Linked DNA regions of Callithrix jacchus. The protein of the gene in region 3 purifies or fractionates together with the protein of the main gene of each other region. This does not show direct contact. Links are inferred from orthologs where the notes say so. Each region holds a gene or a part of one and is shown on either strand. Other genes may lie near its edges.

What was found.
Region 1: the proteins of NEDD4 (region 3) and LAPTM5 purify together in Homo sapiens (affinity purification with western blotting; 3 studies listed by BioGRID and IntAct, with this or other methods). This does not show direct contact. The link is inferred for Callithrix jacchus from reciprocal best matches to the Homo sapiens genes NEDD4 and LAPTM5.
Region 2: the proteins of NEDD4 (region 3) and LAPTM4A purify together in Homo sapiens (affinity purification with western blotting; 3 studies listed by BioGRID). This does not show direct contact. The link is inferred for Callithrix jacchus from reciprocal best matches to the Homo sapiens genes NEDD4 and LAPTM4A.

Annotation. Positions count from the first base shown.
Region 1 is NC_133508.1:67,389,148-67,392,797, forward strand, and holds part of LAPTM5 (lysosomal-associated transmembrane protein 5), read right to left. Parts: intron 1,459-3,650; coding exon 1,366-1,458; intron 83-1,365; coding exon 1-82. UniProt on the Homo sapiens protein: May have a special functional role during embryogenesis and in adult hematopoietic cells.
Region 2 is NC_133515.1:95,163,253-95,167,557, reverse strand, and holds the start of LAPTM4A (lysosomal-associated transmembrane protein 4A), read right to left. Parts: upstream 2,930-4,305; 5' UTR 2,798-2,929; coding exon 2,687-2,797; intron 1-2,686. UniProt on the Homo sapiens protein: May function in the transport of nucleosides and/or nucleoside derivatives between the cytosol and the lumen of an intracellular membrane-bound compartment.
Region 3 is NC_133509.1:43,627,853-43,631,502, reverse strand, and holds part of NEDD4 (E3 ubiquitin-protein ligase NEDD4), read left to right. Parts: intron 1-1,880; coding exon 1,881-2,081; intron 2,082-3,080; coding exon 3,081-3,161; intron 3,162-3,390; coding exon 3,391-3,445; intron 3,446-3,535; coding exon 3,536-3,594; intron 3,595-3,650. UniProt on the Homo sapiens protein: E3 ubiquitin-protein ligase which accepts ubiquitin from an E2 ubiquitin-conjugating enzyme in the form of a thioester and then directly transfers the ubiquitin to targeted substrates. Specifically ubiquitinates 'Lys-63' in target proteins.

The DNA.
Region 1 (3,650 bases), on a different chromosome or scaffold from region 3:
CTGAGTATGGGGGTGGTGCTGGGCCCCCCTCTGGAGCCTTCGATGGCAAAGACAGGGCTTCCTCATAGGATGGCAGGACCACCTGGGAGAGACAGAGAGATGAGGGCTGAGTATGGTCAAGAACAACCCGCAATTCCAACCTAGGATCGTGGGACCCAAACTCCCACCTCTGGCAAAATGATGATGATGATGATGATGATGGTGATAATGACTGACAGGTCTTGGATACCTGCTATGTGCTACACATTGCCTGCATGAGATAGGCACACTTCCCAGTAGTGGACACACTTGCCTGTTCAGCATGAAGACCCCCTTATTTTGAAAGCAGTGCACCATTTTCCTTGGGAAGACATTTACAGTCCATATACCTTCAGAAGAACTGGCCCCGTCCCACAGATCCAGTAGGGTGGCCAGACTTGGCCACTCAAATTAGGATTCTATCCCCCTGGCTATAGTCTTTGGTTTCAGCACAGGCATATGGCCCAAGCTGGTCCAGTCAGACATACTCCTGGGACATTCTCTTTCCACTGGGATTACTGAGAGGATGGGATGTTAGCCTAGGGGTTTTGGCAGCCATTTTGCCACCACGAGGGACGGGCTTCCTGAAAATGAAGCCAACATCAAGGAAAGTAGAATCAAGAGATAGAGAGGATGAGATCATGTCCTGATGTCAGGACTCGGCCAGGCCCAAGCCAGTCCTACGTTTGACTGCTAAGTTCTGTGAGCTAGTAAGTTCCTTCTGTTACTTAAGTCAGATTGAGTTGGGTTTCTGCCACTTGCAACCAAAAGTGTCTTAACTAATCCAACCTCCACCTTACAGGTGACAAAAGTAAGTTACCAGAAATTTAAACCATCACTTTCCAATAAGCAGTTTCCAAGCGCACCCCATCCTCTCTTCTTGGAAAGCTCCTTCTTCTTTCCCAGCTATCTCATATCCATTGACCCTCCAAGACCAATCAACTGTCACCTCCTCCAGGAAGCCTTCCCTGATGCCCAAGAAGAAGCCAGGTCCCTGTGCTTATTGTCCCTGTGCTTCGCACCAAGTTGTAATTGTATCTATGTGTCTGAATTCACCCTGGACTATATACTTCTCTGAGGTAGAGGTGGCATCTTAGTTTTCTCTGCACCCCTTGGAATAGATATGAGACTAGCCAAGAGTGAGAAGCAGTAAATACTGAATAAATGAATGAGTGAGTGAGTGAGTGAGTGAATGAATAGAATCTTAGACTATCAGAACTGAAAGAGGTCACATTTCTTCTGATCCAACCCTCATCTTACAAATAGAGAAACCGAGGCCCACAGAGGGAAAGAGGTGTGACCCAAATGGCACAGGGAGTGAGTGGCAGGGCTGGGATCAACACTCACCTTCCGGAGCATCTTGGAGTTGCTCCTCTCCTCAGCCGAGTTCAGGAACTTGATGAATCTGTAGCACCGCCACACGCACTTGAACATGTAGACCTGGAAGAAGGTGCAGGTCAGGCTGTGCTTTACTGAGCATCCTTCTGACTCTCCATCAGGCCTGGGACAATGCCAGCCAGCAGCCACCACTCTCTCCAGAAGCCAGCATCCAGCCATTCCTGCTCAGACCTCTCCTTCTGGTTAGGGTTCTTCGCCAGTCAGTCCAGAATAGTCCAGGTACTGCTTCTTTCATTGCCCCATAGACATCACAGAGCAAGGGCATTTGGGGGGCTTCTTGCCCACCCTCCAATTTTCCCAGCAATAGTCCCACAGCTCCTGCTTCACTGCCCACAGTAACTGGGAGCTCACTACCTCCCGAGACAGCCCTGCCCATCTTGAAACAGAGCTGGCAGTGGGACACGTTCTCTTCAAAACTGCTTCTGATATGTTGTTTTCTAAAGCAGATTACAAAAAAGCCCATGCAGTATTGGTCCATGTTTATAAAGGATGAATAATTAGCATATATCCATCAGCTGATGCAAGTTGATGTAAGAACTGGGCAGAAGATTTCAGGATGGGGCATAAAATCCCAAGGGGTGAGCACAAGAAACAACAGAAAACCCCCAAATCCCCCCTGAGTAGGAGAAGAGGGTCCTGTACTGGAAGGTCTTGTCTGATGGAGTCCCTGATGAGTGCATAGGTGCGGCAGGAAGACATAGGGAGCTACCGAATGACAAAGAATGAGGTATGAAGGCCAGCAAGGCAGAATGAGGGTCAAAGAGGGAATCCCCTCATTCTGGAGGACAAAAAAACAGAAGTGGAGCTGGACACTGTGGCTCACACCTGTAATCCCAGCACTTTGGGAGGCCAAGGCAGACAGATCACCTGAGATCGGGAGTTCAAGACCAGCCTGACCACCATGGAGAAACTCTGTCTCTACTAAAAATATTTTAAAAATTAGCCAGGCTTGGTGGCACATGCCTGTAATCCCAGCTACTTGGGAGGCTGAGGCAAGAAAATCACTTGAACCCAGGAGGCGGAGGTTGCAGTGAGCCGAGATCGTGCCATTGCACTCCAGCCTGGGCAACAAGAGCAAAACTCTGTCTCAAAAAAAGAAAAAAGAAGGGAAGCTGGGGTATGGAGCCGTGTGGTGGGACCTGGGGAGTGGTCCTTCCCCCAGGAAGCCTCAAGGGCATTCTCACTGCATACTCACTAGCACATTTGTAGCAAAGCTAGGTCAGTTCTTGGAGATGTTAAAAGGGGAAATTTTCTATTTCCAGGTGGCATCAGGTGACAGCAGAGACTGCTCAGGGCCTCAAATGGAAGCAGCAGCTGGGGTCTGCAGATGCCAACCCACCAGCACAGAAAGGCTGGGAGGACATGCACCCGACTGTCAGCAGTGACAGTCTCTGAGTAGGGTATAGATAGTGGAGTGATTGCCTTCTCTCTACTTATCTGTAGTTTTTTGGATTTTGGTTTTTGTTTTAGAGAGAGATTCTCACTCTGTCATCCAGGCTGGAGTGCAGTGGCACAATTATGGCCCACTGCAGCCTCAACCTCCCAGGCTCAAGTGATCCTCTCGCCTCAGCCTCCCTAGTAGCTGGGACTATAGGCACGCACCACCACATCCAACTAATTTTTTTTTTATGTTTCATAGTGACAGAATCTTGCTATGTTGCCCAGGTTGGTTTTGAACCCCTAGCCTCAAGCAATCGAGAATTCCCCATGAAGGTTCTTCAGGTATTAAGAAACAGCAATCATGTCCCCCTTGAGTCATCTATTTTCCACACTGAATAGCACTCTGGTCTTTGCTGGGTTTCGGGGGTTGCGGAGTTTGACTTCCTGAGATGGCAGCATTTTCTTGTCTCTTCACTTCGCTGGTTGCTACGAACACGCACAGTGCTTCACCATCACCCAGACTTGAGACCTGAAACTGGACCCTATCCTCGGGGCTTGACCACCCCAGAGAAGAATAAGACCATTCCCCTCCCTCCTTCTCATCGCAAACCTCTGTTCACATGATCTCAGGTATGTTTTGATGCCTGAATCACATACAACTGTAACACAGGCAAAGCAAGACTCATTGTGCCCCTGAGGCCCAGAGAGAAGTGACTTGCTGAAGACTAGCCACACAGCTAGTGACAGTGGGGCAGGGATTCAAGTCCAGGTCAGTCCACATCTAATTCCAGACAGCTGAAATTAGACACCTGAATACAGGTGGCCTTCACATGTTCACATTCCCTGAATGGGCC
Region 2 (4,305 bases), on a different chromosome or scaffold from region 3:
GACTGTGAATTATTGCCTCACCAGGAATCAAAGAGAGTACCTTGACAAGATATGTACGGAGGGAAGGGATATTTAATACTCACTCATCCCCATGTTGTTTTTCTGTCTTCGTAAAGCAGCTTCTGAGAACAAAATGCATTGCTTGGACAAGCCCTCTTAGTTTCAAAATATTATACTACATTTTGGACTAGGTGGTCTTGTGTCACAAGTCTGACATATCTCCCCAAGTCGGCAGAGACTGTTTTTACATTGCTATGGTACTGAAGCACCTCTGAAAGTCATCAACAACACTATGATAAACAAAACCAATGGCCTTTTTCCAGTACTTATTCTGATGAGAATCTTGTATTACTGATTATCTTCCCCTCCTCCTTCATCACTGTACCATAAGTTTTTCATACCTGTGTTCCAAGTTCTTTGTGATAACATAAACATCTTAAGGGCATATGCTCTGTTAGACAAGAAACATTTGAGAATCTAACATTTGGCAGGTCATAGGAGAACAGAAGACAAATGACACATGGTCCCTGTGTTTATTCCTTCTGTATGTCCATCAAAGCCTTTTACACTGCAGATAGTCAGTAAATCTCGTAATCAATTTCAGACAGGTGAAATGATTTAAGCGGTTTACAACAAAATGTTTTACACTAACCTGAGAAGTCTATGCAAAATAAGAACAGCTATGGCATCTTTTTAAAATTGTGAAACTAAAGCACGGTCTTCAGAGATACATGAATCCTTCTCACAACAAGGGCTTATAGTAGGGAACAGATGTAAGCTCTTACTTTGTAAGAATAAACGCCCCTGCTGAAGTTTTTCTCTCTGCATTTTGAGTTTCCTGTTTGTAGTTCCCAATTTCTCCCGCTATTCTATTCATTTTCCAGCTGAACCCATAGCGTGAAAAAAATCTGCCTTAAAAAAAAACTGAAAAGAAATACAGCCAATTACATCCGGATGGTTGAAACAGAAATGGTGGTACTACTCTGAAGGAGTTAGGAACCCTTTGTTCTGTGAGTAGAGGGAAGGATCCGAGAAGAAACGGGAGGACTCAGACTGCAGGCGAGAGAGCCAGGCCGATGGATTCTCTTAGTTTAGAAGGAGAGAAGGTCCTTTTCTGGGGGTGAGGAAGACGGAATTGAGTAAGAGGCTGGAGGATCCTCAAGGTTAGAATCATTCACTTAGGGAAATAGAAGACAGAGATAAAGACAAACAAAAGAAATTAGACTGAGCCCCTCAGCAAAATGGAGAAGACTGAAATCGAAGTTAGAAACGTAATGCAGCTGATGGTCATTAACTATGTGTTTGGAATTCCAAATCAGTTAAAATACAGAACAAAAGAGTCTCTGTGGGAAAATGTGATACAGTTCTACCAATAAGATGGTATTTCTGAATATAAAAGTATAGGAAACAAGAAAATAAACTCAGCACAAGATTCGAGTTGTTTTTTAAATGTACACCAGAAACAAGACGGTAACTAACAACCCGGCAGGTAGGAGGAAAGTGGAGTCAGGTAGTCCCCCGGGGGTGGGCCAGGAAACAATATCTGCCTCATTTACGATGATTCGCATCTGGCGTTTGTCCAAATGCTTACTAATGATTTCAAGACAATGGGTGGGGAGAAGCAGCGAGTACAGAGAAAAACAGCATCTGGGATAACTCTCTTCCTCTTTTGCAGTTCACTTAAATATTAAAAACAGCACCGTATGATCGAGGTGCACTCCCCACACAACCATATTCACGACGTCATTAAAGAAAGTGGCCAAGTCGACCATGTAAGAAGTTCGTCACAGCTTCTGTAAAGTCTTAATAACCTAAAACTACCTAAACTGAATCACGTATTTGGAAGTCAAGGACAAGTTAGGTTTAATGTGCATGGACACTATAAACGGTAAATTAAAAAAGAAAAATCACAAACATATTACTAGTGAACCACCAGTCAACAAGTGTCAACTTGGTTAGGACAGATCTTGGAACCCAGGAGATATCAGCGTAGGTGGCCAGGGCGGAGAGGCCTTTCAATAAAGGTCTCCGTAAAAACAGCGGGTCGGCAACGACGAGCATCTACTGCGCAGGGAGGAGGCTGCACCAGGACAAAAGCTGGTCAGGCGTAAACTCGGGCAAATGCTATCGCCCCCAAGCGATTCTGAAGACTCGCAAAAGAGGCAGTGTAACAAAACAAAGTCCAGGAAACAGACAACTGGATTACCGCTGGATCTTTCGCTTTCCCAACCGGAAGACAATGTCGAAACTAAACTGCATTTATCAAGGTCTGCTCCTAATTGTTTCATTAGGGGAAAAAAATTCCAGGGAGCACTGGGTAGGAGAAAGGGAGGGGCTGCCTTTCAGATCGCAGAAATACAAAAAGAGCCAAAACAGAGGAATTCCCACCACATCCGAGCACCCTCGTGCCTTCGCCTAAAACGCCTCTGCTCTCCCAAGCTCGCTTTTCTCCTCAAATTCTTGCCGAAGAACAATCTCCCCATGCTTACCACCCCCCCACTCCGATTCCTGGACTAGGTTCCTTCCCCAGAGTCCCTGGACTTCATCCAGAGTTGGCGCGCCCTAAAAAGCAGCGCCCCTCCACGTCCCCACCCCACCCAACACCCCGTTTCCAGTCCCACCCCCTCCGCACCAGGCCTGGCTCCCCAGGGCCCCTGGTCCTGCGCGCCACGCCCGCCCGCCTTACCATGTACCAGGTCCCCAGGATGATGGTACCGGTGCGGACATGGCAACAGCCGCAGCACCGGGTGCTGTAGAACCGGTCGCTGCGGCTCCGCTTGAAAGTCATGGACACCATCGGGAATCTTGCGGACCTTTCTTGGCCGGGCCCCTGACAAACGTTCTCCACCCCGCAGTCAAACTCAAACAGCTCGGTCACGGTCTCCAAAACCAAACGACGCGTCTTCAAGCCCGCACTCGGCCTGGGACCAGGTCAGCTCCTTCGCGCCTGCGCATTGAGAGCAGCGACTTCGGCTTACCCACCCCTCTTCCTCCACACAGGCCAATGGAGAGCGGAAGACTGGATGGACCCGACTTCTGATTGGAAGAACTACGAGATTGACAAGACCTCACGCCCAATTAGAAGTGCAACTCTCCTCAGCCAGTCTCCGCCTGTTACTTGAGGGCAAGGGCTGGTTCTTGGGCCTAGGATCCTGTAGCCCCGTAGTTCACCATCCCCGAGATGAGACCCACAAGAAAAGAGGCATTTAATGGGAAACAGGAGACACGAGATGGCGCAGATGGCACAAAGCAAGCACCACAGGCTTTCCTGAGCACTGTGTGCCACGTACTGCTTCGGAAGCGTCACGGGCTGGTCACGTGACCTTTGCGCGCCCCTCGATTATTGGGCGGTTCAGGGGTGGGGTCTGTTAGGAAGGGGCGGGACTAAGTTCCGCGTGGAGGTGTCCTCACCCCTGTTGCGGAAATGGGGGGCTGTGCGGAGGGGTGGAGGGATTGGATTTACACCCTCTCATCCCTCCGAAGCTTCCTTTGTGGGGGCGAAGAAATACCATCCAACCCTGCCAAAGGCAAAAGGATTAAGGATAAATGAAAACAAGATAACGTAGAACTGCTTAGCTGCTGGGTTTTTAGAGATTAGTGATTTTTTTGTAGGGAAAAATTATGAAACACATTGAAATGGACCAAAAAATTACCGAATGTCTTCAGTGAAAAAACAGCCACAGTTTGGCACCCCGTCCTGGGCATTCTGCTGTTCGCCTTTCTTTGTGGTGCTCTGCACAACTCTGTAAGACCCCTCCTCTGGATTTCATCTTGTATCTTACCCCTCCTTGGGGAAAGGTATTTTGCATCGATTTGTAAATTCATTCCCCTGTCTTGATTCAACGATATAGGTGGATGCTTTATTCTGCTTAGAGCTGATTCTGACAGCTTACTGGTCCCTGGTTAATGAGTAAATAAATTTTTTACACTGTTCATTTGTATTTGTGTGAGACCTGAGACTTTATCTTTAAAAAATGTATTTATTATTTTAATGCTTTGGTAAACACACTTCTTTTCAGAGAATAGAAAGAACTTCCCTTCTGCCACGTGTTTCTTAGCCAGAGACCACAGTGAATTCAGAGTAAAGGTTATTTCCTTGGCATGGCTTCTTTGATAACTGCCTGAAATTGTGTACATATTTGTTGATTATCTTCCCAATAAAATACAAATTCTGGAAGAGTAGAGACTATTTGTTCACCACTGAAGGAGTTGTCCATGGAGCCTACTTTCAAACTATCTGGGAAGCAGTAGTTAAGCCAACCCACGCTAAAGGATGGAGGGTGACTGGCTATTTAACTCAGAATG
Region 3 (3,650 bases):
GCTAAGTGTCCGCCATTTCCTGTGACTCTCTAATATATACAAATTACCACTTGTTATTATATAAAACAAGTTCAAATGAGAATAAGAGGAAAAAGCAAAAATCTGGTCTTTGTGTATTTTTATAATTTGAATAGTTAAGATCATTATTTTAACTAAAACATAATCTTGGTGATTGGTATCTATTAAAGAAATTAATGCTGATAACACCTCACCCTTGGCAACAGTTTCACCTGTAATAGTTCCTTTTAAGTGTTTAGCAAAATATTTATTTTCTCTTGTTGCCATATCTCTTGTTGAGAAAATTTTTAACACTGAAAAGTCTAGAAGATAATGTAGCAGATACACATATTCTTTATTCAGAATTACCATCATTAATAAGTTACCATATTAATTCCTAGAAATTTTATTTTTAAAAATAAAGTCTTGGCCGGGTGCAGTGGCTCAAGTCTGTAATCCCAGCACTTTGGGAGGCCGAGGCGAGTGGATCACGAGGTCAAGAGATCGAGACCATCCTGGTCAACATGGTGAAACCCCATCTCTACTAAAAATACAAAAAATTAGCTGGGCATGGTGGTGTGTGCCTGTAATTCCAGCTACTCAGGAGGCTGAGGCAGGAGAATTGCCTGAATCCAGGAGGCGGAGGTTGCGGTGAGCCGAGATAGTGCCATTGCACTCCAGCCTGGGTAATGAGCAAAACTCCATCTCAAAATAAAATAAAATAAAATAAAGTCTTAAAGATTAACCTAAATTTCTTTTAGCCAAGCTCTTGGTTCCGTTCCCCAGGGGGAACCACAGTCTTGAATTTGTTGTGTATTCTTCTAGCATATTTTATATACTTAAAGAGCTTAGAAAATGTAAATTAAAATATGCTGGGTGCAGTGGCTCACACCCATAATCCCAGCACTTTGGGAGGGTGAGGTGGGCAGATCACAAGGTCAGGAATTCGAGGCCAGCCTGACCAACATGGTGAAACCCTGTCTCTACTAAAAATATAAAAATTAGCTGGTTGTGGTGGCACGTGCCTGGATCCCAGCTACTCGGGAGGCTGAGGCAAGAGAATTGCTTGAACCCAGGAGTCACAGGTTGCAGTGAGCAGAGACTGCACCATTGCACTCCAGCCTGGACAACACAGTGAGACTCCATCTCAAAAAAAAAAAGTAAAATATTGTTTATATGCCTGTGTTTCTAATTTTGCAACGAGGGAACACTCATTTTATAGAATGAGGTGCTGCTCGATTAAAAAAAACCCTTTTTTTAATTGATGTTGTGGCCCCATAAGTCTACATCTTTTTTTGCTTAACACTGTTTTAAAGCTCTGTGTTGTTATTTATAGATGCAGTGTATTTCTCTTAACTACTAATATTCCATCATATGACTATATTACATTTCAATTTCGACTTCTGTGGTAGATATTTGTCATTCATTTTGTCTGCCTGACATTTGAATCTACTTCTCTGTATGAGGAACCCCCCATCCTATAAGTTTTGGGAGAATAAAGACAACCTCCTACTATAGGCACCATAACTCCACTTGCAGCTAGGGCTTGAGCTTGTGGACCTTGCTCCCTCAGTCAGATGCACCCACAGCAGACTGTTAACTGCTATCTCACTGCTTGAGAATTAGTTGAGAAATTATAAATTATTATTAAAATCAAGTTTGACAAAATAGCTTATTGGAAAAATGTTATTAAATGTACTGCATTATTAAAATGTTGGGAAAATATTAATATGCCATAACTACATTTGAAAAAGAACCTCAAATGTTTAGAGTCTCTTTAAAGGAGGATGTGTATTGCATTTGCAGGTTAAGTTACCTTTTTAACTGCTGCTATTTGTGAGTTCTCTATAAAATATTATAATATGATTTCATAAATATGCTAGGCCACAGTGGAGACCAGTCAGCTGACATCAAGCCAGAGTTCTGCTGGCCCTCAGTCACAAGCTTCCACAAGTGATTCAGGCCAGCAGGTGACCCAGCCGTCTGAAACTGAGCAAGGATTCCTTCCTAAAGGCTGGGAAGTCCGGCATGCACCAAATGGGAGGCCTTTCTTTATTGACCACAACACTAAAACCACCACCTGGGTAACTCTGATACTCTTCCATTTAAATTTATAACAACAATAATCATCTCTTATGTATAGTTCCTTATCATCTTTAAGTGTATATTAGTATAACCTATGTTTTCTAGGATTCATTGAAAAATATATTGAATTCTTAATAATATTATTTATATTCAGGAACACACTTACCCCTCTTTTTAATATTGTTTTGGATTATGATGGAGATACTCATGTTTACTTCCTGTTTCCAGTTGTTAGCCCACTAGCCATAAATGCTTAGGAAGATATGTAGGAATAATCCTTTGCTTTTATATGAGGCTTTCTAGCTCCAAAAAACTTTTGAATCCATATCTCAATATCAGAAAACCTTGCGAGGCTAGGTAGAGCAAGTTTTTTTTTTAAGGTAAGGCTTCAAGTTGTTTAGTGCTTGGCTTACCACTAGAAAAATTGCTCAAAATTAGCAGCAGATGAATAAATTTTAATTAATTATTAAAAGACCAGCACACCTTATTAATAATATTAAAGTAAAAATATATGTAAATTAAACCAAATACATTGAATTTTGTTCACATTTTTAACATTCTGAATTGACCATTAATAACCTCTTTGGGCTTACCTTCCTGTTATTCAAAAATATGAATCAACTTGAACAGATAGCTGCCAAAATGCATGTTCTGGGACTTAGAAATATCACGTGGTCCAATTTAATGCCCCACTCTTTTACCAGTTTTTACGTAGAGAAAACCCCTATAGAGTGACACATTTCCTAAAGAGCAGGCAAAGAGGTGACCAGTTAGCGGTGATCCCTGAGAACTGATCCTTATTCCTTTTGATATTATAGCCTGAGAGTGATAGATTTCAGGAGAAAATATTATGTCACATATTTAGGAAATAAAACACGAAAGGACTTTTACAAGAGAATATTTCAAACGTCCATTGATATTGGAAAACATGGTAATAGACTGACTTTCATTATTTTGAAATGTGTGTGTGTTGTTCTTTATTTACTCTACCACAAAAGGAAGATCCAAGATTGAAAATTCCAGCCCATCTGAGAGGAAAGACAGCACTTGATACTTCCAGTGATCTCGGGCCTTTACCTGTAAGTGTATAGAAATGCTAACCTCTCTTACTTGGCTATCTCAAATATTTTGTATTTTGGGATAGAGTAGTTCTTTATCAGCCTAATTAATCTTATTATTAAAATGTTGATACCTTCTAAGAATGGAATGGAATATGCAATTTAAATTAACCATACAATCAGTGCTATTTTTCTATCCATACATCTAAAACCCTATCCTAAAATAATTGAAATACATTCTTCATTATAGCCAGGATGGGAAGAGAGAACTCACACAGATGGAAGAATCTTCTACATAAATCACAGTATGTTCAATGTGATTTTTCATTATGTTATTTTTTATAATAAATTTTATATGTGAGAAAGAGCATCTTTTTTCTTTTTCTACCCTTCAGATATAAAAAGAACACAATGGGAAGATCCTCGGTTGCAGAATGTAGCAATAACTGGACCAGTAAGTCTCTTTGTACCAGTGTGCTCTGATGGGACTGTCCTCTCACCTGTCTCTTC